Ovis aries: one gene and its partners. The protein of the gene in region 2 interacts with the protein of the main gene of each other region in a pairwise test. Links are inferred from orthologs where the notes say so. Each region holds a gene or a part of one and is shown on either strand. Other genes may lie near its edges.

The links.
Region 1: the proteins of HOMER3 (region 2) and EIF3D interact in binary tests that used the Homo sapiens proteins (3 or more experiments, as listed by UniProt). The two-hybrid records come from large-scale screens. The link is inferred for Ovis aries from reciprocal best matches to the Homo sapiens genes HOMER3 and EIF3D.
Region 3: the proteins of HOMER3 (region 2) and MOS interact in binary tests that used the Homo sapiens proteins (3 or more experiments, as listed by UniProt). The two-hybrid records come from large-scale screens. The link is inferred for Ovis aries from reciprocal best matches to the Homo sapiens genes HOMER3 and MOS.
Region 4: the proteins of HOMER3 (region 2) and WIPF1 interact in binary tests that used the Homo sapiens proteins (3 or more experiments, as listed by UniProt). The two-hybrid records come from large-scale screens. The link is inferred for Ovis aries from reciprocal best matches to the Homo sapiens genes HOMER3 and WIPF1.
Region 5: the proteins of HOMER3 (region 2) and PSMA1 interact in binary tests that used the Homo sapiens proteins (3 or more experiments, as listed by UniProt). The two-hybrid records come from large-scale screens. The link is inferred for Ovis aries from reciprocal best matches to the Homo sapiens genes HOMER3 and PSMA1.
Region 6: the proteins of HOMER3 (region 2) and PAX6 interact in binary tests that used the Homo sapiens proteins (3 or more experiments, as listed by UniProt). The link is inferred for Ovis aries from reciprocal best matches to the Homo sapiens genes HOMER3 and PAX6.
Region 7: the proteins of HOMER3 (region 2) and USP2 interact in binary tests that used the Homo sapiens proteins (3 or more experiments, as listed by UniProt). The two-hybrid records come from large-scale screens. The link is inferred for Ovis aries from reciprocal best matches to the Homo sapiens genes HOMER3 and USP2.

Annotation. Positions count from the first base shown.
Region 1 is NC_056056.1:180,569,672-180,572,853, reverse strand, and holds the end of EIF3D (eukaryotic translation initiation factor 3 subunit D), read left to right. Parts: intron 1-1,086; coding exon 1,087-1,229; intron 1,230-1,494; coding exon 1,495-1,844; coding exon of another isoform or gene 1,845-1,879; exon of another isoform or gene 1,880-2,280; coding exon 2,281-2,294; 3' UTR 2,295-2,426; downstream 2,427-3,182. UniProt on the Homo sapiens protein: mRNA cap-binding component of the eukaryotic translation initiation factor 3 (eIF-3) complex, a complex required for several steps in the initiation of protein synthesis of a specialized repertoire of mRNAs.
Region 2 is NC_056058.1:4,095,378-4,099,456, reverse strand, and holds part of HOMER3 (homer protein homolog 3), read right to left. Parts: intron 4,006-4,079; coding exon 3,849-4,005; intron 3,392-3,848; coding exon 3,260-3,391; intron 1,599-3,259; coding exon 1,491-1,598; intron 417-1,490; coding exon 295-416; intron 1-294. UniProt on the Homo sapiens protein: Postsynaptic density scaffolding protein. Binds and cross-links cytoplasmic regions of GRM1, GRM5, ITPR1, DNM3, RYR1, RYR2, SHANK1 and SHANK3.
Region 3 is NC_056062.1:36,287,705-36,291,313, forward strand, and holds MOS (proto-oncogene serine/threonine-protein kinase mos), read right to left. Parts: upstream 1,806-3,609; 5' UTR 1,739-1,805; coding exon 716-1,738; 3' UTR 614-715; downstream 1-613.
Region 4 is NC_056055.1:135,480,321-135,484,399, forward strand, and holds part of WIPF1 (WAS/WASL-interacting protein family member 1), read left to right. Parts: intron 1-1,421; coding exon 1,422-1,601; intron 1,602-4,079. UniProt on the Homo sapiens protein: Plays a role in the reorganization of the actin cytoskeleton. Contributes with NCK1 and GRB2 in the recruitment and activation of WASL.
Region 5 is NC_056068.1:37,966,276-37,970,354, reverse strand, and holds part of PSMA1 (proteasome subunit alpha type-1), read right to left. Parts: intron 2,678-4,079; coding exon 2,589-2,677; intron 1,967-2,588; coding exon 1,896-1,966; intron 1,780-1,895; coding exon 1,650-1,779; intron 1-1,649. UniProt on the Homo sapiens protein: Component of the 20S core proteasome complex involved in the proteolytic degradation of most intracellular proteins. This complex plays numerous essential roles within the cell by associating with different regulatory particles.
Region 6 is NC_056068.1:61,391,841-61,396,611, reverse strand, and holds the start of PAX6 (paired box protein Pax-6), read left to right. Parts: upstream 1-1,737; 5' UTR 1,738-1,794; intron 1,795-2,170; 5' UTR 2,171-2,221; coding exon 2,222-2,231; intron 2,232-4,771. UniProt on the Homo sapiens protein: Transcription factor with important functions in the development of the eye, nose, central nervous system and pancreas. Required for the differentiation of pancreatic islet alpha cells.
Region 7 is NC_056068.1:29,668,637-29,673,232, forward strand, and holds the start of USP2 (ubiquitin carboxyl-terminal hydrolase 2), read right to left. Parts: upstream 3,088-4,596; 5' UTR 2,950-3,087; intron 2,055-2,949; exon of another isoform or gene 1,902-2,054; intron 1,817-1,901; exon of another isoform or gene 1,753-1,816; intron 926-1,752; exon of another isoform or gene 1-925. UniProt on the Homo sapiens protein: Hydrolase that deubiquitinates polyubiquitinated target proteins such as MDM2, MDM4 and CCND1. Isoform 1 and isoform 4 possess both ubiquitin-specific peptidase and isopeptidase activities.

The DNA of each region.
Region 1 (3,182 bases), on a different chromosome or scaffold from region 2:
TTCCCCTCCTTTTTAATCCCCCAGTGGCGCCTTCTCTTAGGGTCGGTCCCTTATGCAACTCTTTTGCCGCAGTCACTTCTTTATACTGTGCGTGGTCCACTCAGGTGGTCTCCCTATCTTAAGAGACCTTGATTCCATCTGCAGAATCTCTTTATAGACATGAGGTAGCGTGATCCTGGGTAGTTATACTCAGGGTTCCCCCAGACTCCAGGATAGCAGATGCAGCAAGAGCAGGGCCACCAGGGACCATCTTAGAATTAAGCCTAACCCCAAGCCTCATCCTTGAACTCCAGAAATGATTCCTGAAATCTCTTCTGACTCCTGTTCCATCATTGTTGTTTTTGTTTTGGAATTTTTTGGTGGTGGTTTTTTTCTAAAATACTTTGTCCTTTCAGTGTCTTCCTTTGTCATTCCCTCTGGCTTGACTGTCCACTGGTGTCATTTCTCCTGCTCGCTTAGGCTCAGAGCCTCAAACGTCTCCTCCTCCTCCGCTGCACCCTTGAATTCTGCTGTCAGGCTCAGTCTGTCTACTTGCCCAGCCCTAGGTTTCACTGACATCACCCTAGTTCAGGAGCCTTCTCATGACGCCTGATATTTTGCATTTGTCTCTTAACTGACCTCCCTAACTCCCTCTCCATCAGGTCAAACCTACCTGACCTCCCCTCCCTCTGCGGGCTTCCGCACTAAAGCAGTCCATCTCTTCCTTGTCCCTCTCAGCCCTCCCAGCTCCAGCTTCTGCCAGTATTCCCCACGGGTGAGCTGTCACACTCCCCTGTGAAACTCTTCCTCTCCAAACCACATGTGATAAACACTTGTATGGCACTTGTTTCTAACGTGTGAATATATGTCCTGGTCTGATTAAGACCTTGTGAAGAGAGGAGTTAAGTTTGTTGAGCACCAGCTATGTGGCAGGCTGTGCAAAGGAGGGACGGAGGCCCTACCCCTTAAATGATGTCTTCTGCTCTACCTGTGGGCTTTCCCCTCCCTGGTTAAGCCCACTAGGGACCTTCTTCTCTACCAGAGGGGCCATCAGTCCACAGGCAGCATGGTGCCTTGGCGCCTATAACCAGGGCCCTCCTCCCACAGCACTGTAACGGCGTTGACTGGCGACAGAAGCTTGATTCTCAGCGAGGGGCTGTCATTGCCACCGAGCTGAAAAACAACAGCTACAAGTTGGCCCGCTGGACCTGCTGTGCTTTGCTGGCCGGATCCGAGTACCTCAAGCTTGGGTGAGATTCCTGCCCAGGAGCCATGAGCTCATCTTCGGAAAGGAGGGGTCTTCGCGTTAGGAGACCAAGGCTGCCTTTTTCTCCCTTTTCTTGGGACAAGCACGAGGCCACCATTTAACTAGTAACTCAACCCCAGGCACAGCTATGTCTTTGTTCCGGCAGGCCCCACCCTAACACTCCTCCCCCCAGTAGTTAACGTGTCCCAGTGCCACACGATCTGTGCCAGCCAGGCCCCACCGTAACACTGCCACCCACCTCCCCCCAGTTATGTGTCCCAGTGCCACATGGTCTGTGCCGGCGGGCCCCACCCTAACACTCCTCCCCCCGGCAGTTATGTGTCCCGGTACCACGTGAAAGACTCCTCACGCCACGTCATCCTGGGTACCCAGCAGTTCAAGCCCAACGAGTTCGCCAGTCAGATCAACCTGAGCGTGGAGAATGCCTGGGGCATCCTGCGCTGCGTCATCGACATCTGCATGAAGCTGGAGGAGGGCAAGTACCTCATCCTCAAGGACCCCAACAAGCAGGTCATCCGTGTCTACAGCCTGCCCGACGGCACCTTCAGCTCCGATGAGGACGACGAGGAGGAGGAGGAGGAGGAAGAGGAAGAAGAAGGTGTGTGGCAAGCCTCCCTCAGGATTCTGGCGTGACCTGTGGGCTGGTTGGGGCCTCTAACCAACCAGTCCTCTAACCTCAGTGGAAAACTCCAGGAATTCCCTGAGGCTTCACTTGGTATGGCATTCAGTCTAGTTCCAGGAGCCACTTCCAGAGCCTTTCGAGCACTTGACGGGGTTGGCGAGGAGAGTTAGGGCAGGAAAGAAACGTCTAGAGGAATGTGCTAGAAGTCCCTGATACTAGCCAGTGGCCCCAAGAAGGAATGATGCTCCAGGTTCATGTTAGGCCTTAAATCGTTCTCTCACCTGCTTCACCAGTTGGTGACTAAAGGAAATACCTGTTAGTCCTCTGAGGATCTGAATGGTTTCACATCTGAGTGAAAGTGTTGGAAATCATAAGCAATTCACCAATTTGATACAACCTTTGTATGTTTCAGAGGAAGAAGCCTGAACCAGATGGTGACGCGGAACTGGTGTCTGCGACTGCATCGAGCCTGGAGGACCCTGAATACCTGGTGGGATGTGTGTCTGACTCTTGCTCTCTGAAGCTGGGCTATTGAAATAAACTCTATTTAGTCCCTTACCTTCATCTGTGCCTACATTATGACCGATAGCCCTTCTTCCTTCTCCTAGTAGCCTTTCAGAGAGGGAGGGTGAGACACAGCAGAGTCTCTCTGGAGTTCATAATCTGGGTTCCCGCCTTTGTTCTCAGCATTAGTGGTTTTACATTCCTGCTAGAAGGTGAATGCCCTGGGGTGTTTTGTTCTTGGAACCCCTTGAAATTATCCTTTGCCAGGGAGTGAGATCCATTGTGAGGTCCCCATAGGAAGTCCATTTCACAAGCACAAGCTGGCTACATGCCAGACCCAGCTGCTGCCCTGAGACACACACATCACAGTAATGATGAAGCAGGGCAGTCTTTGAAGCTTGAGGTGAGGTCGCTGCTGTGAAGGAGACCGCTTCAGAATGTCCTGAGGGATGTTCCATAGGCTGTTGATTGTAATGGTTTGTATAAACTTCCCTGATAGCTCAGTTGGTAAAGAATCCACCTGCAATGCAGGAGACCCCAGTTCAATTCTTGGGTCAGGAAGATCCCCTGGAGAAGAGATAGGCTACCCACTCCAGTATTCTTGGGCTTCCCTTGTGGCTCAGCTGGTAAAGAATCTGCCTGCGGTGTGAGAGACCTGGGTTTGATCCCTGGGTTGGGAAGATCCTCTGGAGAAGGGAAAGGCTACCCACTCCAGTATTCTGGCCTAAAGAATTCCACAGACTGTGTAGTCCATGGGGTCGCAAAGAGTCAGACACAACTGAGCAACTTTCACTTTCACTTGGCTTGGGC
Region 2 (4,079 bases):
GGATGTGGACAGAACCAGGGGGTGGGGAGGCATCCGTGGGTTTAGAATTAGCTGGGGGAGGTGTGGACGGGCCAGGGCTAGCCCCGAGGAATGGATGAGGCAAGCGGCGTCGGCTCTGGAAGGGGCATAATCTGGGTGTCTCCTCTCCAACCCAGGCCTGTTCTGGGATCCCAGGCGTGGATCCACTGTCAGATTGCGCCGCTGGAACAAGTCCCAGCAATTTCTGAGAACTTCCTCCCGCCTCCCCCACCTTTCGTCTTGTCACGCCCCTGCACCCTGTGCTACCCTCCTCACCCTTCGGACAGCATCTTTTTGAGCCGCTCGCGTTCAGCGGGGCCCGGGGCATCCGCGCTCTGGCTGCGGAATAGCTTCTCATCGCCGGGGCCATTGGCGCTGACGAGGGGGCTCGGAGGCACCTAAGGGCATGGATAGAAGTGAAGTCACAGTAGGGCGTGGCTTCAGTTAAGGGCCAGTTAGGTCATGGTTGGGGTCAGGGCTGATGTCAGGGGTCATGACTGAGAGGGCGCAGGAGGTCCTTCCCAGCACTGGGATCCAATCGTCCCTCTCCCCTCCTCCCCCACCATCCACGGCCCCCACATGGCCCCTGGGCTGTAGTTTGGCGCCCTGTCCCGCCTCCTTGCCTGCTGGGCTCTCACCAACCCACCAGCAACAAATCTAATGCAGGCTAGCCTAAACCCAGGGAGACAGATACTCATAATCTGCAAATCGGGGAGCAATCTGAAGCCTCGGTGCTATTCCCTCACCGCAATGACCTTTCCTGGGGCCAAATTTCAACAGCTATTTAAAATTCCTATGAGAAACCTACTCTATTAGGCTAAATTCATTATGAATCCACCTGATGCCTGGACCACAGTCCTGAGGGCGGGGACCAGCCTACTTCTTTTATCTTCTTAAGCCCTGTGCCCAGTCCTGGGCCTGGCACACGGTAGGTGGTCAATCAATGATGTTGAATAGGTTAGTGGGGGGAAACGCTCAGGGACAGTTTTTTACCCCACCCCGCTACTTAGGGCTTCCCAGGTGGCTCAGTGGTAAAGAACCCGCCTGCCAATGCAGGAGACATAAGAGACGCAGGTTCAATATCCCTGGGCTGGGAAGATCCCCTGGAGGAGGGCATGGCAAACCACTCTGGTATTCTTGCCTGAAGAATCCCATGAACAGAGAAGCGGGAGGACTACAGTTCATAGGGTCACAAAGAGTTGGACACGACTGAAGCGACAGTATGCAAGCACGCACCACTACTTGGCCACTTCACCTTTCACATTTCCACGCTGCCACGTGAGCTGGCTTTCTGGCCTTCCTTTCAGGCAGGCCTATGACATGCCCCCACGGCACCCACGGCACCCACGACCCTTTTCCACGGTCACGGCTCTAGTTTTACATCATCAGTGAGTGTCTGGTCCTGAGCACCGGCATAGCGTTTAGACCCTTCCCCTCCAGGGCAGTTGAGTTCTGGGACAAGGAGTGCTGACCTGGTGGGCAGTGAGCCCCAGCGCGGGACTGGTGAGTTCTCCCCCATCCTGGGATTTCTCCCGTGCCAGCCTTGCTGCCTCCTTCACTTCCTGGAACTTCTCAGCAAACTGAGGGATGAGGAATAGGAACAGACAGTCAACAAACTCCCAGCCCCCTCCACCAGGGCCCCACCACATGACTCCCACCCAGCACTAGCTTTGTCACTTTGCAAGAGAGGGAAGAAGGCTTGGAAAATGATGCCCAAGGAGCAGAGTGGGTATCCGGCTAGAGGGCAGGGGTGGGGTGTTCACGGAGGCCACCTTGAGAAAGAGATCCCCTTTTCCCCTCAATCAGCTTATCTCAGTAAGGAGAGCCTCAGGTGGGTGCTAATCTGTCTTTCGTGCCTGGGACGCTTGTGAATATCCTTTGTGACAAAGAGAAAGCAGGTCTTGGACTTGGAGCCTCTGACAGGCACCTGCAGCCAGTGGGAAAGTAATCCCCCTGTTCTCATTTTTGTCATAGTTTACATTAATCTCCCATACCTGTTTTCCAGCTAGAGTAGGATATACTTTTTTTTTTTCCATTTTATTTATTTATTTTTGGCTGCACCAAGTGGACTGTGGGATCTCAGTTCCCTGACCAGGCACTGAACCTGGACCATGGCAGTGAAAGCCTGGAATCCTAACCACGAGGCCACCAGGGAGCCCTTTTAAAAAAGTTTTTGTTTATGTATTTATTTGGGGTTGTACTGGGTCTTCATCGCTGCTTAGACTTTTCTCTGGTTGCAGCGAGCAAGGGCTCCTCTCTGGTGGCGGTGCACAGGCTTCCCATTGCAGCTTCTCCTGTTGCAGGGCACAGGCTCCGGGGCACGTGGGCTCAGCAGGTGCAGCTCCCGGGCTCTAGAGCACGGGACCCATAGTTGTGGCGCACGGGCTTCCTTGCTCTGCAGCGTCTAACATCTTCCCAGTCCAGGGATGGAACCCGTTTCTCCTGCGCTGGCAGGTAGAGTCTTCACCACTGAGCCACCAAGGAAGCCCCCCACCTTTTTAAATTTTAAAATAAATTTCCTTAGCTTGAAAGTAATTTTTAAAATATTTATAGCTATACACCCCCTTTGGGTTGTGCAAAGCGGCCAGTGCAATTCACTGGGGGTATTGGGGGTAGGTAGTGTTTTCAAAAACCGTTCCAGGATTTCTCTGGTGGCCCAGTGGTTAATACGCCACACCTCCAGTGCAGGGGGTGCAATCCTCAGGTGGGGAACAAAGATCCCATATGCCACATGGTGTGGCAAAAAAAAAAAAAAAGTCCCAAGAGCAACTGAATACTCATATGTGAAAAAAATACTCCTACTTTATACCGCCTGCAGAAATTAATTCAAGATCTAAAATTTGAAAGGGAAACTAATGCTTCTAGAAGAAAAGAGAAGAAAAGCATCGCAGAGAGCATGAACCATACAGGGAAACAATTCATAAGACAATGCCGAATTCTAGAAACAGCAGAGGGTGGAAGGAGGTGGTGATGAAGGTACTGCCAGGGGTGTGGGGAAGCACTCAGCCCATTAAAGGCACCCAGAGAGGAGCAGGGTGTGTTCAAAATCAAAACAGGTGGCCAGCTGAGCTGGGATGTGGACCAGGGGAGTGGGAAGGGGCTATAGGCTGGTCCAACTCTGTATGCCCATCCTGTAGCTGGGAAGATGGAGGCCCAGCATCTGTCCAGGGTCCCGCAGTGCACACAAGAGAAGACCCAACCCCAGCCCTGCTCCTCCCACCATGTACCCCCGCAGGCCCACCTGAGTCAGATGCTGTTCAGAAGCAAAGCCAAGACCATAGACAGTGTTGGCGCGACTGTCTGCCCACTGTCCAAACTTCTGGGAGGTTTTGGTAAAGGTCATGTTGGGAGTGACAGTGCTGTTGATGATGGCCTGGGGGAAGGTGAAGTCGGGGAGAAAAGTTCACGGGTGATGGAACTGGTAATAATAATCAATAGGAAACCCCCAGAGAAAATCGCCTTCTATTAGCCCTCCTGTGCTAAGTCGCTTTAGTCCTGTCCGACTCTTTGCAACTTTATGGACTGTAGCCCAGCAGGCTCCTCTGTCCATGGGATTCTCCAGGCAGGAGAATGGGAGTTGGTTGCCATGCCCTCCTCCAGGGGATCTTCCTGACCCAGGGATCAAACGTATGTCTCTTAGTCTCCTGCATCGGCAGGTGGATTCTTTACCACTAGCACCACTTGGCTTGAGCCATTTCAGGAGGAAGATGGAGACTCAGAAAAATTCAGAGTATCCCCTGGCCCCCAAGACACACAGCAAGGCAGCAAATGGACCCAGTCCTGTCCTGGGATCCTTGGCCCCTGCCACCCCGCCCGGGCCCCACCAGGACCTTGGCACCCCCGAGGCTGATGATTCGGTAGACATTGCGGGCGGCGTCGTAAAAGTAGGAGACAGTGAGTGCGTGTTTGCCCGCAGGGATCCAGTTCCGCTTGGTGGCCGGGTCGATCTGGAACACGTGTGCCCGTGTGCTGAAGATGGGCTGCTCCCTGTGTGGGGAGAGGGTGCTCAGTGGGGGCCAAATACACCTACCCCCAGGACTCAGGGTCAAGCTGGCAGAAGC
Region 3 (3,609 bases), on a different chromosome or scaffold from region 2:
GTGCAGTACCATGGAACTGTTAAAGTAAGCCCAGTAACCCTGTAAGGAGATAAGGTAGGTCCTGAAACCACCAGGGGGCTTCTCTGGTGGCTCAGTGGTAAAGAATCTAGCTGCCAATGCAGGAGACCCTGATTCCATCCCTGGGTCCAGAAGATCAGGAAGATCCCCTGGAGGAGGAAATGACTACCCACTCCAGTATTCTTGCCTGGGAAATCCCATGGATAGGGGAGCCTGGTGGCCTACAGTCCATGGGGTCAGCAAAGAGTCAGACACTAGTTAGGGACTCAACAACAACAACAAATACAAACAATAGCCATTTTAATGAAAACAACAAGAGTAATGAGCTGCTGTCCTCTTTGTTGGGGTTGCAGACAACTATTTTTTTTTTTTTTTTTTTTTTACAGTTTATTCAGGAATACCTGTTACTGCCTGAAGGAGGGCATGGCAACTTGCTCTCCTATTCTTGCCTGGAGAAGCCCATGGACAGAGGAGCCTGGCCGGCTGTAGTCCATGAGGTAGCAAAAGAGTCGGACAAGACTTAGCGACTAAATAACGACAAAGAGCACCACGACCGCTCTGCGGTTTGTCTTAGAAAAAGCATTCGAGATAAAGGGAGTTTTTAAGGGACTTTATTTTCTAAAAATCCATCCTACCTATATGATTTTTTCCCCCGCTAAATCTTCACTTCGTTAAAAACGATCAGAAACAAAGACGCTTATTTGGATCCAGTCTCGAGTCCTCCCAGCTCCTCTTTCAAAGCGTGGAGGTCCCCCAAGAGAAGTTCTGCGCTCGGCCTCTCGGGAGCAAGGGCCGCCCAGCAACGCTGGACGATGCCCGCCAACGTCTTCCTGGGGACCGAGTCGGTGAAGACGGGTGCCCGGAGAGCGGGCCGGAGGTGGTAGGCCACCACGGCATAGAGCACGTGCTGCCGCTCCCCCGAGAAGGGCGCCTCCCGCGTGCTCATCTGCCAAAGGGTGATGGCGAAGGAGTAGATGTCGGCCTTGGGTGTAACAGGCTCTCCTTTGAGGAGCTCCGGGGCTCGGTGAGTGTAGGTGCCGCCCAGGTGGTGAGGCGTCCACGGGCTCCGCAGGTCTTCCAGCCTCACGGAGCAGCCGAAGTCCCCGATCTTGCAGACATCCTGCTCACTGATGAGGATGTTGGCCGGTTTGAGGTCCAAGTGCACAATGCTTTGCCCGTGGAGGAACAGCAGGCCGCTGACCACGTCTAGGGAGTACTTTAGACACCTCTCCAAGCCCAGCTGCGCGCCAGAGTCCCCGGGGCAGCCGGTGGGGCCGTAGATGACCTGGTGCAAGGTGATGTTGCCCCCGAACTCCATGATGACGGTCCCCAGGCTGTCGAAACCCGGTGGCGGGCGCGTGCTGGCCGCCAGCACGCGCACGATGTTAACATGGCGCAGCCGGGCCGCGTTGAGCTCGGCCCAGAAGCTGCGCCTTGACGCCCGCGAGTTCTTGGAGCACCCGCTCACCTGCTTGACGGCTACTCGCACACCGTGGTAGGTGGCCTCGTACACTGAGCCGAAGCCCCCCGCGCCCAGCCTCCGTAGTAGACGCACCTGCTCCCAGTCGATGGAGCACCAGGCTAGCCGACGCCGGAGGCGCGGGGCCCGCGGCAAGATGCCCCCCAAGAGCTCGCAGGGGCTGCTGCAGGGCCGCGAGTCCCCCGACGACGGCGAGAGGTCGCCGGGCAGGTGAGGGCGCCGCGGGAGGGGCGAGGGCATCTCTTCTGCAGCGCAGGTGAGCCGGCCTGGAAGAGGGGATCCCGTCGGCCTGCAGGCATCACTGGCTGCTGCCCCTCCGCTCCGCCCCCGTGTTTGTCTCCTCTGCCTTCATCTTCCCCAAAGGAGCCACATCTGTGCGGTTCCTTAGCGAGGACTTTTATCAGCTGAGGAAACCATCTGAGCGCAGGCAGCACCGAAACCCCATTCAGATGAAGGTATTTCCCTTGGGCACTTACAGTGAATTCTTATAAAACAAGCCCTGGAAGAGGGTTCACCGGATAAACAGTTAACTTGCCCCAGGAATCACCCTCTTCCACAAGTTCTTTAATTATTATAAAGCAGGCTTCTCCCCTACCCGTCCACCCCCACTCCAAGTCTCATCCGCTGGGCGTCATCGGTCCTCAGATCACAATAGTGCAATGAAATTTTTTTCACACTTTGCAGGCTATAATGATTGTCAGTTTATTCTCCAGCTGCATTAAATCACTTCCAGCAGTTATTGGCAGAAAGAGTTGAAACATGAACAGCTGACAGTTGTTGAACCGATTACAGGGAAAATTAGGTGCAACGTTCACGGAGGGATGAAAAATGGTAAGCTGAAAGTGATCGATCCAAGCAGAATTGCTGATACAGGTCACAGCATAAACACTCTGAGTTCATAAAGGAAAAGAAAATTCTCTGACACCCCATTCAGCTGATAGAGCAAATTAGCAAGACTTCTTAGCAACATATGGCATCCTTAGCAGTCTTTGGGGTCCATGGCTGTCTGGTGCACCCAGTACGCTCACTTGCAGAAGAGATTTTAGACTTCACAGCAAATAAGTTACAGAAGTTTTGAAGCAGAGTTAGAGGAGGAAAAAGAATGAAAATGATTCAGAGCTACAAGCAGAGCGTCAAATAATAACAAATACGAGAGATCTTAGGAGAGGAAAAATCTGAAGAAATAAAAAGAGTCACAGTCATATACTGTTCCTCCATATACTGTGGAAAATCAGATGTTGAGATTAAATCCAGGATCTTGCTGTTCAGCCGTGAGTTCTTCTGTTCTAATTTTTATTTTAAAAAAAGACAGTTTTCATTTCATACCTTTGGGGAAAAAACCAACAATAACACCCTGTTCATGAAAAAACACAGGAAGATGTTAGGATCTATGTTTTGAAAAGTCAAATGGTAAAGCTCTATCTTGACTTTATTTTTGCACTTAGAGCATATAGGTGATGTGTAAACACATTTTTCTGAAGATAGGTCTATGCTTCTGAAGTATATTTGTTCCAAGAAGATATGTTAATAAACAGTCCATTTACATAAGCTATTGGAAGTCTTCTGAACCCTAGAATAAGATTTCTATTCTATATTACCTCTGTGACTTACCATGTGATATCATGTATAATATTTAACCTGTTTGAGCCTCAGTCTTTTTATTTAAGAAATCAGGATAATCATTAAAATAAACTTCTAAAATTTGGAACAAAATTTGGGGAGCCCTATCTGAAGTAATGGAGCTTCCCTGGTGGCTCAGACAATAAAGAATCTAACTACAATGCCAGAGACCTGGATTTGATCCCTGGGTAGGGAAGATCCCCTGGAGAAGGGAATGGCAACCCACTCCAGTATTCTTGCCTGGAGAATATATGGTCAGAGGAGCCTGGTGGGCTACAGTCTATGGGGTCACAAAGAGAAACGACTGAGCAACTAACAGTATCTGGAGTAATAACAACAGAAATCTAAAAAATGTAAACTATTAAATATTATAGTAAAAATGCAGATATGTCAAACCTGAAATATAAAACAGATAACAGTGAATAGAGTAAACTAAGAAAGTACAATTATATTCTGTAATAAGTCTATATTGCAGAATCTATTTCATTGCT
Region 4 (4,079 bases), on a different chromosome or scaffold from region 2:
AATTATAAAGTTTTACTGAATGAATCAGAACACATGGGAAAACATAGTGTGTTTCCATAAAGTCTAAATATCATAAAAGTGTCAGTTCTCTCAGATTATTTTGTAGATATCATGTAATATTTATCAAAGACTCAACAAAGTTTTCCAGGGGTAGAACTTTAAACAGTACTTAGCCTCATAAAACATACATACATAAATTGGTAAGAGATAGTTTTTTAAAGAGGGTAAAATCATGGCTCTAATATGGATATAAAATAAACATATCAAATATTTTATATAGCTCATTAATTTAATGAGGGAACCAATATGATATTATCAATTCAAAGGAGAATTATAAGTACCACACGTATGCAGGCAGGTGAGTGTTGAAATGAATTTGCAAATAGGTGTAAAATAGGTCAATAATCAGTTGAATTACACTGAACACAGCTAATATGCATTTCTGTGGACAAATACGCATTATTTTCAGTTTTCTACAACTTACAGAGTTATAGACTACCTCAAAGGCAATGGGAAATGACCCAGAAGGCTAACTGGATACTTGGTAATCCTTTTCTTTCTTCTTCTTTTCCCTTTTTGTTGGTCTGCCCATTTCAGAATCTTTCACAATTTTTTTTTTTGGCAACAAATGCAAACTAAAACAATCTTTACATTGTCTCAAGTTGCAAAGAATTTTTAAAATGTTAAAGTCTACTGTTGCTTTTTATGATATTAAAAAATTGAAATCAACCTGAAAGGCCATCAAATAAGTAAATGGTTAAATAAATTACAGCACATTCATGTTCTAAAACACAATGCAATCCTTTAAACTCATGCTTTCAGAGAATATTTAATAACATGGGAAATGCTAACAATATTGAGTGAAAAAAGCAGACTAAAAACTATGTAGTGAATTTGGTCTTAATTTTAAGAAAAAAAGTATATCCAGTGAAAAAACTGGCAGGGGAAAAAATATACAAAAACAGCAGGTATTTCCATGAAGCAGAATTATGGGATATTTTACTTTATTCTATTTTTACCTGTTCCTTTCTTCTCACCTTTTATTGCATCTTCTCCTCCCTTAACACATTCTTTCTTTTAAGATACTTTTATTTGCCAAATTTTCTGATACAGAGCAAATAGATATTATTAATTCATATGGCAGTGAGCCATGTGGAGGAAAGACATTATCTATTACCAATTCTTCCACCACAGGGCTTGAGATAGCCCTGGAGTAGAAAGAACCCTCTTCTGCTTTTCTGACTAGAGATAGGGTGAGTCCTTAAAATCCTACCCTCTAATGAAATCGCAGTTGTCCACCATGGGCTTAGGGTCAGCCAGCTTCCTGCTGTATCATTATTGTTTACCTGGGCCAGGACTGGTGGAGTTCTCCGGCAGTGTCTTCATACATGTGAAAAGAATGTGTCTTCTTCCTTCTACAGAACCTAAAGGAGCTGCTGGTGGTGGTGGTGGCGGCGGCTATGGCGGAGGTGGCGGCGGCTATGGCGGAGGTGGCGGCGGAGGAGGTGGTGGAAGTTTTGGAGGAGGTGGACCACCCGGTTTGGGAGGACTGTTCCAGGCTGGAATGCCGAAGCTGAGATCCACAGCCAACAGGGAGAATGGTAAAGAGCATTTTCTTCCCTTAGTAACCGAAGACTAAGGCACAATCTGGCGGTTTGAGATTTGGCATCCCCTCTAAGGCACTATGCCCTTTAAAACATTTTAGATTGCTTGAAACGCTAACACCGTTTTATAAGAGGGACTCTATTTAGCATCGTTTTTTCTTTTTAAATCAGGATCAGACAGCTCCATCTAGCTGTTAAATATTTGCCCAGTGTCCTTGGGGAAACTTGTACTTTTTTGTACTTTTCTAAAGGGTGAGCTAGATTGGAAAGAAAAGGAAGGAGCAAATGAGAGAAAAATCATGGAAACTCTGTCTGGTGACATGGCAGATTCAGCTTTCTTTGTGAGGTAGTCTGACCTAGCTGTCTAGTGGAGTAAATACTTGTGAGTCTCTTTTCAAACACACAGTGGAGCATGTCTTAGAGAATATAATTACATATCTCACAAAAATCTAGAAGGGCATTTTGCCTGGCAGACATTTGCCATTTCAGGGCCAGCGATTCTAGTATTCTCTGCAGGAAGCCATGGAAATGGGTCCTATAGGAATGTCTGTGAACAGAATGGCAGAAAGAAAACTGAACCTGGTCATGCCTAAATTAAAAACCTTATAGAGTGCGTGAGGCTCTTCCCTGATTGTGACAGAAACTCAAGAAAGTTTTCCATGAAATTTTATTTTTTAATGTTTACTGTGCTAGAAGAATTTTATTTTTAATTCCATGGTCTTTTAAAATGTCACTGGGAAATTCTCACATTCACATGAAGATAAAGGCACTGAATCCTCAGAGTTAGCTGACTATGTTAGTTTTGGATTGTCAAAATCTAGAGGGAGACTCACTAATATAAGAGATTTTATCTTGCTAGGCCTGCATTTAGAATTTGTATATTTAAAACCTACTGAAAGGTTTTGAGGCAGCAGACATATGCATACGTTCAGTACTCTAATAGTAAGTGAGGAAATTTAGGCCAGAGACAACTGGAAGTAAAATAATTAAATGAAGATGGAATTGAAGTTAATGCACAAAATGGTGTACCAGAAGTATATACTTTCACAGCATACAATTTGCATATTGGGTCCTACATGTAGATGTAGCTATGGATAATAACTGTACCTTTAGGGCTTCCCTGGTAGCTCAGTGGGTAAAGAATCCACCTGCAGTGCAGGAGACCCTGGTTCAATTTCTGGGTCGGGAAGATCCGCTGGAGAAAGGATAGGCTACCCACTCTCTCTGGTATTCTTGGGCTTCCCTTGTTGCCCAGCTGGTAAAGAATCCACCTGCAATGTGGGAGACCTGGATTCAATCCCTGGGTTGGGAATATCGCTCGGAGAAGGGAAAGGCTACCCACTCCTGTATTCTGGCCTGGAGAATTCCCTGGACTGTATAGTCCATGGGTTGCAAAGAGTCTGACACAACCGAGCGACTTTCACTTTCATCCAAACTTTGAAGATAAAACTTATCACAAGTTGGTGACATAGAAACATACCACACAGCCAAGGAAAATATAGCTAATTTCTAGTGCTAAAGTCAAAACAAAAAATTCTCTCTAGAGTTCACATTACTCCATTGTATAAATCCAGCCAAATGTTTCTCATTGGACTTTTGGGTGAAATCTGAACTCCTTTTGGCCTACAAGGCTCTTAATCACCCGGCTTCTGCTGACCACTCAGGCTGCATTTGACAGTGTTCTCCTCTGTGCTCACTGTGTCCCTGGCATATGAGCCTTGGTTTTTTAACTTAAGCTTACTTCCACCTCAGGGTCTCTGTACCTGCTGACACTCCAACTGAAGCACCTCTCTTCCTCCTTTCCATGGCTGGCCTTAGCTCAAATATCACATCCCAGAGGAGCCATCCCCAGCCATGTCCACCTATCCTGGCCTCTCTAGAACTCTTCATGTCATCAGCCTATTTTAGTTTATTTTTAGTACTTATAATGATCTGAAAATATTTATGTTTACCGGGTTTTTGTTCATCTCCGTAAGAACATAAACTACAAGAGAACTGGATTGTTTCTATTTTGTTTACTCCTCTGCCTCTAGCATCTAGAATAATGGTTGGTTTATAGTATAGCAGGTACTCAATAAATAATTGGTGCATGTTTAAACTGGTAGGAGTTTCCAGGCTAAGCATTTTTTGAAGAATGAATTTGGGTTGCAAGAGACTCTGCAGTAGTGATTTGAATTTTTCCATAACTTTGGTTCCTCTTTAGTTCTGCCCTTTGCTGAACCAAAGCAGTCGAACATTAATTATGTAGTAGGGTGGTTCTGTCCTATATTATTGAAGTGGAACGACCTACTAGGGAAAAAACTGTATAATTGCCTACTTGTTTCCAGATTAAGACCACTTCCTGGTGTCAGCTCTTTCAATTAAACTTTAACAGCTTCTTTTTTCCTTTGCAGTTTCTTATTTCAGCCATAATTTTTCCATTATATTTTTCCCATCCTCTCTTGCACATTTCTTTAACAAAGGGGCTAGGTAAGC
Region 5 (4,079 bases), on a different chromosome or scaffold from region 2:
CACCATGGAAGACGGTATGGAGATTCCTTACAAAACTAGGAATAAAACCACCATATGACCCAGGAATCCCCTCCTAGGCATATACCCTGAGGAAACCAAAATTGAAAAAGACACATGTTGTTCACTGCAGCACTATTCACAATAGCTAGAACATGGAAGCAACCTAGATGTCCACTGACAGGTGAATGGATAAAGAAGTTGTGATAGATACACACACACACACACACACACACACACACACACACACACACACACACACAATGGAATATTACTCAGCCATAAAAAAGAACAAATCTGAGTCCGTTCTGATGAGGTGGATGAACCTAGAATCTATTATACAGAGTGAAGTGATTCAGAGAAAGATAAATATTTTATTCTAATGCATATATACAGAATCTAGAAAAATGGTACTGAAGAATTTATTTTCAGGGCAGCAATGGAGAAACAGACCTATGGACATGGGGAGAAGGGAGAAGAGGGTGAGATGTATGCAAAGAGTAACATGGCAACTTACATTACCGTATGTAAAATAGATAGCCAAAGGGAATTTGCTGTATGGCTCAAGAAACTCAAACAGGGGCTCTGTATCAATCTAGAGGGGGTGGGATGGGGCAGGAGATGGGAGGGAGGTTCAAAAGGGAGGGTATATGTGTATACCTATGGCTGATTCATGTTGAGGTTTGACAGAAAACAACAATATTCTGTAAAGCAATTATCCTTCAATAGAAAAATAAATTTTAAAAAAGTCAATGAATGCAATACACCACAACAGAATGCTGGAGGGTGGGGTGGCGGTGGATGCATGATTACCTTGACGCGTAAAAAGCATGTGTTAAAATCTAAGACCCTTGCATAAGCAAATCATTTGAAAACCTGCCCTAATGACGACCCTGTATGCAAGACAGGAAAAAAGACACAGATGTGTATAACGGACTTTTGGACTCAGAGGGAGAGGGGAGGGTGGGATGATTTGGGAGAATGGCATTCTAACATGTATACTATCATGTAAGAACTGAATTGCTAGTCTATGTCTGACGCAGGGTGCAGCATGCTTGGGGCTGGTGCATGGGGATAACCCAGAGAGATGTTGTGGGGAGGGAGGTGGGAGGGGGGGTTCATGTTTGGGAACGCATGTAAGAATTAAAGATTTTAAAATTAAAAAAAAAAAAAAAACTAAAAAAAAAAAAACAAAAAAAAAAAACAGAAAAAAAAGAAAAAAGAAAACCTGCCCTATCATCACGATACATCTTTTCTTCCTCACAACTAAACTGATTTATTTATTTATGGACTACTTATTGCAGAAATGTCTATGTGGCTAAAAATAAGAATCACAGAAAATAAAAGCTGTAAACAGAATTTACAAGTAGTAACTACTACAGTGGCTCTCAGCTCTGGCTGGGACAACACTTCAGACCAATTGAATAAAAAATCTTCAAGGTAAGGAATACATAGTTATATTTTTAAAAAGTTTGACCGGTGACTGAAACTGCCCTGGTAGCCAGAGAAAGTGAAAACTAGTATATATGGCAGAAATAATATACACTTCATGGGCTTAATCTTTCTAAGAAAAGTAGAGCTTTTTTCCACATAGGATACTGTGTTTATTCACTATATAAAGACTAGAAGGGCAAAAAAGAAAAATTACTTACACTCCATAAACTCTGACATATGTCTCTCCAAGTAAGTACGAGCTGATTGAGATCGGGCTCCAATGGACATAGCTCTGCAGTCAAAATAGTTAGCAGATGGACAAGTTTGGAAAATGTGAGGACCCATATCCTACAAATAGAAGAAAAATACACTGCATAATTCTTGACTCTAATTGAGCTAAAAATTAGAAAATTTGTTAGTTTCAAAAAAAATCATTAAAATATAACAATACTCTATGAACTTACATCATAACCAGCAATGAGCAGCCCAACACCATATGGTCTCCGGCCATATCGCTGTGTTGGTATCTGGGTTTCTTAAACTAGTTAAAGAGTTTGTTCTAACAAGAAGTAAAGTACTGTCTTTAATTTCAAATTAAATATTATCAACAAAGAGTTCTGGTTTTTTTAAGTGCTGCATAATTCACTACCCCAAGAAGAAGAAAATAAATATTTCTTTGGCTTAGTGTTAAAAGATGTTTGACTATCCACCAAACCCCAAGTGAGTGCTAGCAAGATGATCTTTTCTGGTGTAGAGAATTTCATTCATTTTGGATCTAAGGGATCTAAGGATTTAGGGGGAGCATCTATAACCACGAATAAACAAACATTAAATCTCTTCTAAAATTGATGCTCAGTTTTTCTGAAATTGGGCTTATCTATATCTGGAACATATTAATTGCTTATCTATAAAGGCTGATAAAAAGAACAAACCAACTCAGTTAGAATCTATTCTTCCATAGTAAAACTCCCTACAATTCTCCTTCTAAAGACTTAAAGCATTCTTTTACTGAAAAGTGACTCAACTTAAAGTTTGCACAATCTTACCTATGTTATATATTATCATATTCCTAATAAGTAATATAACGATTAAGTATCAAGACCCTTTAAAGTCTACATCCATAAATGCTACAATAAATGCATAAATGAAAAGGATACTGCTTCCAATTAGAGATACAAGACGAGACACAGGAAGAGGTCTGTCAAATACAAATCTGGAATCCAAACACTCCTGGCGCATAAAATTACTGAAAAAGAAACAAGAAAAACTGGTAATTTCAAATCAGAGTAATTCTAATCAAACAAAGTTATTTGGTTTCTTTTTGCTTTCTTCCAGATGTTTACACGTACATCCACACAATGGAACCATAAACATATAATGACAAGGATAAATTTTTCTATCAAATCTCTATATTTTAAGTGTTCTATTATTGAAAGTGACTAACCTTAAAATTTTCACCATTTTACCTAAGTTTATGACTACACGTTTCTTAGCTCTAGATAACCTTTGCCTCAGAGCACTTTACATAACAGAGAAGAAAAGGCTGCACGATAGGAAAAGAGCAATCTCTTCTCTTACCCTTCCCACTGTCAGCAAGACTGTCTTAATTCCATGTCTTGAGCTAGCAAAAAGAATAACTTTGCTTTTTTCCTTGAAAGCTGACAAAAATTTCCCCAACAGAACAAACAGAAGAAACTGAATCCATACTAGGGCGCTGTTAACATGTTTCTGTCAATGTTACTTCTCTCCATAGCAGTACTCTAGAGGAGACACTACACTGTTAAGTCTCAAACCCAACAAGATGCAAGCAAATACAACACTGGGGAAAAGAAAATTCACACCTATTAAAGCCAAGAGGATAACCTTTTCTTTCATATTGCTCTGTCTAGTTTATGTGTGTGTCACATCCGATGATCAGATGTTGGCTGCTGTAACCAAGCTAGTTGTTCACTACTTTCACTTAAGTTCCTTTCCAAAGGCTGTCTAACACTGCATTGCTCAATATGGCAGGCACTAGTAACATGTGACTAGTGAGCACTGAAAAAGTGGTTAGTCTGAATTAAGATGTATCTTCAGTAAAAAATATACATAAAATGTCAAAGATTTGCGCAATAATGTAAAATATCCAATAAAGCTTTTAAACGATTACAAGTGACAATATTTTTGAAAGATTGGGTTAAGTAAAATGTTTGACAATGCAACATATATTTTCAACAGCTAACAGAAAACACTAATGTAATCACTATATTGCTGACCTAAGAGAACAGGGAACTCACCAAATAACTTGAAAATTTTAAACATCAGCATTATTAACTGTCTTCGGTGTTTATATTCCTCCTTTCCTAATTAAATCACAGACGAGATTATTTGTGGCTAACTACCTCCTACTTACCAACACATACACTGAAAGATGCTGTATGAAGTGTTCTACATGTTAGGCTATTTGTCAATAACCTTGGAAAAAAAATACTAAAAAAATTCAGAGTTTGAGTAACTAGAGCAACATCAGATTGAGTGTTAAAAGTGGGAATTAAAGACTGTGTGATCCCAAAGCCCCAGCTCTTCATCTGCAATATGCCTCTCAACTGGAAATAATCTTTATCCCCCACCCCCTCCAAAGAAATATACCTGTTGCTCTCCACTTTCTA
Region 6 (4,771 bases), on a different chromosome or scaffold from region 2:
CAGCTGCTTGGAAAATTAATCGGTTAGGCCTCTCTGGAATCAGCTAGTGATTAAAAAAAAAAAGGCTCCAAGAATGTACCAACCTGGATGGGGGCATTCGGTTGTGGTTAAGTATAGGTATAGGTTACAGTAGGAAGTTTTACCCTTCTAGGGGAATATCAGTCCCCCTTCTCCCCACCAGCTACTGTTTGCAGTTTCAGAATCCAACTTGGTGTATGGGGGGAGTTGGGCATTCTGCGAAAAGTTGTTTTTTTCTGCCTCTCCTGGACTTGACTTGGTCTCCGGATGGAGAGACAGGAGAGAGGCTTTGGGAAACTGCCTTGGGAAGCTAGAGGAAAGTCCTCTAAGTTTATTTTTATGGATTTAAACTGCCTCCCAGCTAGTTACTAAATTAGACCATGAATAGCCTTGAAGAAAAAAAAATTTGCTTCTTAGAATTCTTTACTTGCAGGCAGGCAAAATTAATAATCATAATAGGCAAAACAGAAAAAAGAATGAATATTTTAATTTTTTAAAGCGGGGAAAGTGACTATTTAATTATTTTACTTTTTTTTTTTTGGCAAACCTTTGAATGGGTTCTTTATTGTAACTCTCTCTTCCCAATTGAGCTCCCCACGGTGCCGTTGTATCTTTTTACAGCCCCTAACAACTCACACCAGTAACACAATTACCTCCAGATATTTATAACAAGAAATTATTTTTCTATTTTCTCCCCCACCCAGAACCTTCTTCTTAAGAGAAGACAGGGAGGGGTGCTGGTGGAGGGGGTGTTCACCTTGGGGGACTAGCACTGGGTCAGGACTTATAAAGCGAGAAGTGTCCCTCTGTTCCCTTTATGGGTTGGTGAGTTGTTGGTACCTTTGGTTGGAAGCTCTGTTGCTAGTTAGGGAGATTCAGTTTTGCTCTTTGGGTTTGGGGAGAGCTGGAGAATAGAAGCCATTGTTCGCTCTCTGTATGCTTTGTCGACCACGCTCACCCCCTCCTGTTTGTACTTTTTAAAGCAGTGAGGCGAGGTAGACAGCGTGTGTCACAGTACAGTAAAAGGGGGGAAGATCTAAACACCAAAAGAGAAGTTAATCACAATAAGTGAGGTTTGGGGGGGAAAAAGTTGGGCTTGCCACTTTCAAAGTCCCAGAAAGAATGGGAAGTGAATGGCGATCAAGCCGACTGGGAAGTTTTGAGGGGGAGAGTGAAGGATAAAGAGGTAACCAAAGACTTGGGTTGGGGAGGGGGGTTAGGGCAACTGGGGTAGTGAAATTCTTGAAAGGAGTAATGGTTCTGACATCCTCCCAAGCAGCCCCAGCTTGCACCCTCAAGCTCTCTGAAGTTTCAGGGTCCCCTGTGCTTCACCTCTAAACTTCAGGTGTAAGCCCCTCTTCCCCCAGCTCTTGGCTTCTTCTCCCAACCCTGCTGTTTCTCTTGTTCTCCCCTTTTCTTTCCCTGGTTCTTGGTATTTTTGCAAAACGGGGCCCTAAATTGTCAGGCTCTGCAAATCGCCCAAAGCCGGGTCAGAGCAGCCACTATCAAAACGTGGAGACCTTTGCAGGACAGGCTGCTGGAAATGTGGGTGTAGCTCTGGGATTTAGAGTTTTATGGCAGTTTGAGCCCAAGATGGCTTTCTTTTCTTCTCTTTCTGAGAGTGTGGATCAGAGAGTCCATGATCTATGCTTTTGAGTCATAGTTTGATATACCTTTCTCTCCTTCTGTTTTGTCTTAGGGGGAAGACTTTAACTAGGGGCGCGCAGATGTGTGAGACCTTTTATTGTGAGAGTGGACAGACATCCCAGATTTCAGGCAAGTTCCATGCTGGCTGCTTTGGGTTCCCCAACCTGAAAGAGTCAGAATGCTGCTTCTTCATTGTTGTTCAGTTGGAAGAAAAAATTCAAAATCAAGTCATGGATTCTTCTGACTAAAGGGTTAACTACTAAGAGATATGGGGGAAACAGACCGGGAATACTGGAGTATTTGTAATGCAAAAGATAGATTTTGCACGTACTGGAGTGCAGAGCTGATCTGCCCAAACTGATTGATCCAATAGCCCCAAACTGATGGAGTGGATTATTTCCTTAAAGAAGAGGCTTTCTCCTGTCCTGCTTCCAGGACACCCTATGTAGGGAGGTAGGCCTACCTGGTGCCGGCCCAAAATTAATGCCTATATTCTTGCTAACAGAGCCCCATATTCGAGCCCCGTGGGATACCGCGGCCCCCAGCCAGCGCCAGCATGCAGAACAGTAAGTGCCTCTGCCTCTGGTCTTTTTGGACTTCGGGCGGGGGAGGCGCAGACCAGCGCGCAGGTCGGGGGAGGGCTTGGAGGCTCTCGGTGTCCGCACTGGCCAGGCCGCGGGCGCGAGGGAAGAGGCCCGGGGACCCGAGGCAGCTGCTCCACGAGGGGAGGGCGTCTGCTCTCTTGCTTCCTCCTGGAAGAACAGGGGCTGGGCCCTTGAGAACAGCCCGCAAGAGTTTGTGAAGCTGCGGAAGAGAAACCCCATCCCCCCAAATCCTGTAACTCACACCCCCTCCCCGCCCCTGCCCGGGCTCTGACCCCAGAGAGGGGGGCTGGACTGAGCGGGGCGGGGCGGAGTCCTCTCGCCGTCGTAGCGCGAGAAGGAGGCCCCTTGGGCTTAGTCAAGACTGAAGGTCTCCACCGTCTGGGGCGGGTGGGGGGCTCCTCTCCCCCAGTCACCCTAAGAGCAGCTCCTCCCATCGCCACCCTGGCGAGGGGCCTGGAAGGCCAGGGGAGTGGGGCACCCAGGCCTGCGGTGGGGTGGAGTTGGTACTGGAACCGTGGGACTGTTACAGGGCGCAGACCGGCGAGAGCAGGTTTACTGGGTCTGGGAGGAGAGTGGGGATCGAGCCCAAGAGTTGGAGCAGCCCTGCCCTAGTGGCTACTGGGTGGGTCCTAGTCATTCCGGGCCCAGTGTGCCTTTGATTCCCTGGCTCTTGCATCTCCCGTCCTCCCTTTGCCTAGACCCCTTGGGCTCCCATCCCTTCTTTCTGCTCAGTACGTGGGAGCTGCTTTGTGGCAGGACGAATCTGAGACAGGGCCTGAGAGCCTGGAGGCCCAGTGAAACTAGGCCCCGGTAGAGGTGCAGTGCCCCGAGGCGGTTTAAGGGCTCCGCTGTATGGAGTGCCTGAAAGCCTAAATCTTCTAGAAACCTTCCCTTGCCGAACTGCAGACTGAGAGGGGTCCCTAGCCCCTGATCCCTCTGTTCTGCAGCCGCTAGCTGTCCCCTGGCCCTTCAGCGGCTGGTGGGCGTGAAGCGCAGGAGAGGGCGCAAAGCGGGCGCAGAGCTGGAAAGGCGGATTAGTTGTGCAGAACGTGCCAGGCCCCGGGGACTTGGCCCGGTAGGAACCCTCCTTGGCGAGACTCGGTCTTCTGGCCACTCTTCCTGGCTGCTGGGTCCTCCCCTCTCCAGCACAGGGGCCCCAGCCGCAGGCTCTCGGGCAGGCCGGTCCTGGGCGCGCGGCGCTGAGCATTTGCCGCTGCGGCCTGGCTGGCGGGCCCCGAGGGGCGCGGGGTCGCGGGCCGGCCTGCAGGGCTTTGTGCCGCTCGCTCCCGGGTGTGCGCGAGGCGCAGAGCATCCAAATTGACACCATATGTTTTCCTATTAGATGCTTCGCGGTCGAATTCTAGGCGCATAATCATCGCCACTGGGCGAGAGCGCCAGCCGTCCCTAGGGAAGGGACACAATGATTGAGGCTTAACCTCTGAAGGGGAACTTAGAGCGGCGCTTCCTCGCTGCCATTTCGATGCTGGCAGAGGCGACCTGGCCCTGGGCGAGCACCCGCCGGCGGTCGCCGTGGAGGTGGCGGGCAGGTTGTTTTTTTTTTGCCTGTTGGGGGGAGGGGGAAAGAGGGAGGTCTAGGATTAGGCGGCTTCATACGCGTTGGCATTCCCAGATTGGGAATTGCCTCGGCTGCGCGTGAAGTTTGGAGAGTCTTTCTCCATCTTTCTCTGGGGGTGCCTTTCTTTTTCCCGGGAAGGCGTCCTTTGCCCAAAGGGGAGGCTCCTGTAAGCTGGAGCAGTAGAAGTTCTTTAGAGGCAAAGGAAGGCAATAAAGGGAATTTAGGAGAAACCAGAAGCGGGGTCTAGGCCTCGCTCTGTTGGAGAAGCGGTGTCCCCGCGATGTCCCTGCTCGAGCCCAGCCCGGCGGAGCCTAGATACCCCAAACGCCTGTCACTTCTCATCGAGTTGAGGCTTCAGCACGCCCCCTCAGTCAGCCCCCCCCCTACTCTGCCCCAAGCCTTCAGCTACCCTGAAAACGCGGCTCCCCTCGAAGGGGAAACGAGTGCAGTTCAATCTCGTCTGAGTGATCTACAAATAGGGACGGAAAGGGTCGTTTTATCACGGTCCCGTTTGTCGTGACGATGCAATTTCCCGGAGCGGAGCACTGTCACAAAGTGACAAGGCTGCCACAAGCGCCCCGACTGATCTTTTCAATTAGCCTTCCATGCATGATCCGGAGCGACTTCCGCCTATTTCCAGAAATTAAGCTCAAACTTGACGTGCAGCTAGTTTTATTTTAAAGACAAATGTCAGAGAGGCTCATCATATTTTCCCCCCTCTTCTATATTTGGAGCTTATTTATTGCTAAGAAGCTCAGGCTCCTGGAGTCAATTTATCAGAGGCTCCAAGGAGAAGAGAGGAGAGGAGAGGAGAGGAGACCTGAGCGGGGGAGCCACATCTCCTGGAAGGGCTGCTCTCTAGAGTCGGGGCTGCAGGTTGGAGAATTTTAAGGAAGTGGAAATTGGCAGTTGGCTTTATTTGTGT
Region 7 (4,596 bases), on a different chromosome or scaffold from region 2:
GGGTAAAGTGGGCTGACAGAGGGGCCCTGTCTCCATCTACACTTTCCCACCCACAAGCCCGGCTGCTGGGACACTGCCTAGACACAAGCGTCATCCCCTAGGTCGCGGGATGTCCTGGCAGGAGTGGAACATGTAGGCGGAGGGGGAGGTTGGGGTGGGGGATATTTGTGCTCTCACAGTTCAGGAGTTCTGTTTACTGCTCTCAGATGCCCAGGAGCCTCAGCCTGGAGCTAGCGGCTCTACCTCTTGGGCTGGCACCCTCTGACCCACCAGTTTAGTGCCTGATAGGCCTTGGCCGGGGGTCATCAAGGGGATTGGGTCCCTCTCAGTTTCTCTAGATCCCAACAGTTACTCAAGGGCTGGGACGGGCAAAAGAGGTAAAATAAAGAGACTGGAGATTAAAACCAGAATTCCGCCTGGAGGAGAAGAGGTGGGTGGGCTTAACGCAGTGTCTCTTCAGGGTTCTCCTTCATTTGGGTTGGGAGGGGGTTGGCATCTCTATACCTCCAAGAAAAGGCAAAGATATGGGGCCCCCAGGCAGTATTGGAATTCTTAAATTCTGTTTTCTAACCACGACTGTCCCAGGCACTCTCCTGGAACCCCTACCCCAGGGGAGAGCCCCAGGCTCCTTCCCTCTCCTCCAGGGCTTCAGCTTCCTCCTCCTGGCCTCCCAGCCCTTGGTTCTGCCCCTGGGTCTTGCCCATAGCACCTCCAGGCCTGGTGGGGTGGCCTCTCACATGCTCCCCCAAACAGACAGGGATCCCTCAAACAGACAGTCCAGGGCCCTAGGGACAACGGCCCTGTGAATTTCGGATACCAAAGGAGCAGTTACCGACCTGTGTCCGGGGACACTGGGCAGGATCTGGGGGCTTCTCCTTCCCCGGCAGGGCAGGGAGTGCAGTGGCGAGCCCAGAAGCAGGAGTCTGACTTGGGCCGGGTAATCCGGGGCTCAGGTTACTGACTCGATATATATAGTATCTTATCTGACCTCATGGAGATGGCTAGCTCCACTCGCTGGCATTCTGAGCCCAGGGAGAATTAAAGGGGCAGTGGCAGGCCCTCCCTCTCGAGGTGGGTGCCAGGCAAGGAGATCCTGGGAGACTGTTTGCAGGGAGCATTTTGAAATGGAACAGAAGGGGGATTCAAGGGGAAGCAGAACTGGAAAGAGGGTAGAGGGATGGGGGTGGAATTAGGCAAAAATATGGAGAAGGAGGTGTCAGTCACAGAAGTAGAGAAGAGAAAGAAGCCCCAGTCCACCTCCTTTAGCTCTGAGATGGAGGAGACCTGGAGGCAGACAGCAGCTCCCTCAAGGACACAGAAGCAGGGAGAGGCAGAAGGGACCTCTCTCAGGTTTCCAGTTCAAGCTCTTTTATAATGGACTTCTAGGCTTGGGCTTGTATTCCAAGTCTTTCCTTTTTATTGCCTCAGAGACATTTAAGCGGTCATTTAAGTGGTCCAAACCTTATTTAGTCTTAAAACAGGAGTAATAATAATGATATACCTCATGGAGGTGAGGATTAAATAATGCTTGTTAATTTCCTGGCACATAGTAAGAGTTCAATAAATGATAATCACTACTAGATCAAATACTTCCACTTCTAATTAGTGGTAGCATTTGTCAGGTGAACCTTGCTAGTGAGAAAAGGTTCCTCCAGGCCACCCCGTGGGAGTGCCCTGTTCTCATGTCAGAAAACTGCCATGGTTTTCCGAGCTGATCCGTGTCCCATAGCTGGCAAGGCAAATGAGGCTTACCCTATTCCCAGATGTGCAGTCCACCCATCAGAGGAGGGCCAGGCCCACTTGGGCTCTTTCCTTCTCTACCTAGAAAAATATATAGCAAGTGTAGCTTCCCCCAGGCTACCAGGAGCAAGCCTGGCTGCTCTGGAGTGGTTCCACTCTACCTGGAGGAGTGTTCAGGATCCCGAGCCTACAGAGCCAGGCTGGCTGGGCAGGGTCACAGGAGGAAGGTGCAGGATTCTGAACCTCTCGGACCTTGGTGCTCTTGTCAGCTCCCAGCTGTTCCTCCTGTTTCTCGATGGCTGTCCCTGAGGACTGGGAGTACCCGGGATGGTGCCTCCACCCTGTCTCAGCAGAGACTACTGACTCAGCTCAGGTCCTGATGATGCACTTCAGAGGACGCCCTCGTCCCCAGCCCTCATTCCAGTCCTCATTCCGACTCCAGTCTGGCATCATCTACAGCATCAAAGGAATGGTGGCTGCTCCAACCCCAGCCCAACCAGCTCTCCTTTCCTCCACTGTACATGTCGGACTCTGGGGACCTATTCCTGCCTGTGCCTGGGGAGATGAGCATGGGCAGGATCTCCAGCTCAGTTCCATTCTAAGAGCGGCCAGGTCAGGAGGTAGATGCTCCTCCTTAGAGGACAGCCAGAATGGGCTTCCTTAGGCTGTTGAGTATAAGTTACTTGCCTTGGAGCATCGCGTGCCTGATTCTGGTTTGGGATTGGTGAGAATTTCAAAGATGCCTCTTTCTTGTTTGGGATTGGTGGAAAATCTACCCCTTTTCCACTTAACTACTACCCTCCCCCCCACCCCTACCCCTCTTTGGCAAACTGATCAGAGACAAGCCCCCAGGAGCTTTGAGAGGAGGGAGTAAGAAGGCTGCCACGCACACGTGGGGAGGGGTTTGCCAGGGCCCAGGCGTCACTCTCCGCCACATCCCACACAGGGCTCGGAGATGCGGTCCTGCCCAAGCAGCGTTTCCTGAGAACACACTGATCAGCACACAGATGGCTCTCCCTGGCACCCTGAGCTGTCGGCTCACACACACAACTGGCACCCACAGCTGGAGATCCTCAGCGCAGCTGGCACTTGCCCTACATTTCTAGTGCCCATTTTGCCCAGGCGGTCGTTGACACCTCACTCTCAGAGCCTCACACGGCACTGCCCTCCGTATCCCCTCTTCCCCAGTCTCCGACAGGTGGCACGTACCTGCCTATTCTCTGAGGATGGATGAGTCGAGCCGGGCACAAGCATGGAGCTACCGATGAGTCCCGGCTGGTACTGGAGCGGCGCAGTAAACAGCCGCTGACGCAGAGGGCTCCCTGGCCTCGGCTCTTGCCCGCCTCTACCCCACCTCCGCCGGGGGCCCAGAGAGGACCTCCCCGGGAAATCGGCGCCACCCAGCGGGCTGCCGCCTCATTGCGCCCGGGGCCGGCAAAGCCACACCTCGCGTCTAGCGTCACTGAGACGCGTCACGGCGATTGGCTTGTTCCTATTATGACGTCATCAGAGCCCCGCCCGACCAGGATCTCCCAGGCGACCGACATATACAGAGAACCACGTGGAGAAAAGGCACGCGAGCTTGGAAGGGGTGGTTGGAGTACCTGAAGTGGGCCTGAATATGACACGACGGGACAGCTGGAAGGTATTGGGAAAGAGGAAGGGTCACGGGGAGAAGGCTCAGCGTTGAACCCCAGGGCGTACATATCAGCTTTCAGATTTTAGGGAAGGCTAAATGTTCCAGCTCCTTCCCACCCGACTGGGAGAGGGCCAGTTCTTCTGGCTCTTCCCTTCTCTACTCTTTAAGACACTCTCTGCTTATTTTACTAACATGAGACGAGTGACTGGTGGTGTTTTCTGAAGTGGGTAAAACGGTGGCACTGGGTCAGTAGAAGAGATTCTCTTTTTGTCTTTCAAGAAAAAGCCAAAGGAAACTTGATTTTTTGGGTCACTTCCATTCTTTGTATATAACTTTCCCCCCTTTCCTCTACTGTGAAGAAAACCACACGGCCAGGTAGATTGGTGCCAAGGCAAGTCCAAGGTTTTCAGTTTCACCTGGACCGTCAGTCCTTCCAAGTGTCCTTAGCTGCTTCTCTTGTTCTCTGCAGCTGGCATTTGTCCATTACCACTCTCCCAAGTCCCTCCTTGTCTTCTATTTCCCTGAGGAACTGGAGGCAATCAGGAGGGAAATCCTTAAAGTTCTGCCTACAAACATAGCTGAATTCATTCTTACCTCTGCTCCAGGAGCGGTGAGAGCTGTGTCCCTCTTGTGCAAGACAAATACCTTCCAGATCGCAGCTCTTGTGTTTCCTATTGTTACCCTCAAACCGGGTTCCCCTTTTGGTGGGTGTCAAGCCAAAAGACAACCAAGTCAAAAGATCTGGAGAAGGAAGAATTTATTACTTGCAGCAAGGGAGGAGAGTAGATGGGATCTTTCCCCAAGCAGTGTCTCCCTGAATAGCAAAATTGGGGAAGTTTTAAGCTAAGGGTACATGCATATTCATGAGGGATTGAGCAGTGTATGCATATTCATGAAGGGGCTTAAACGGAATTCCACATAGAATTGGATCAAAGGTTAACAGCCTTCAGTTTGGTTCAGTCCCTCAGTCACTGACTCTGCAACCCCATGGACTGCAGCACACCAGACTTCCCTGTCATTCACCAACTCCTGGAGCTTGCTCAAACTCATGTCCATTGAGTCGGGGATGCCATCCAACCATCTCATCTGTCATCCCTTTCTCCTCCTGCCTTCATTCTTTCCTAGCATCAGGCTCTTTTTCAGTGAGTCAGTTCTTCGCATTAGGTGGACAAAGTATTGGAGTTCCAGCTTCAGCATCAGTCCTTCCAATGAATAGT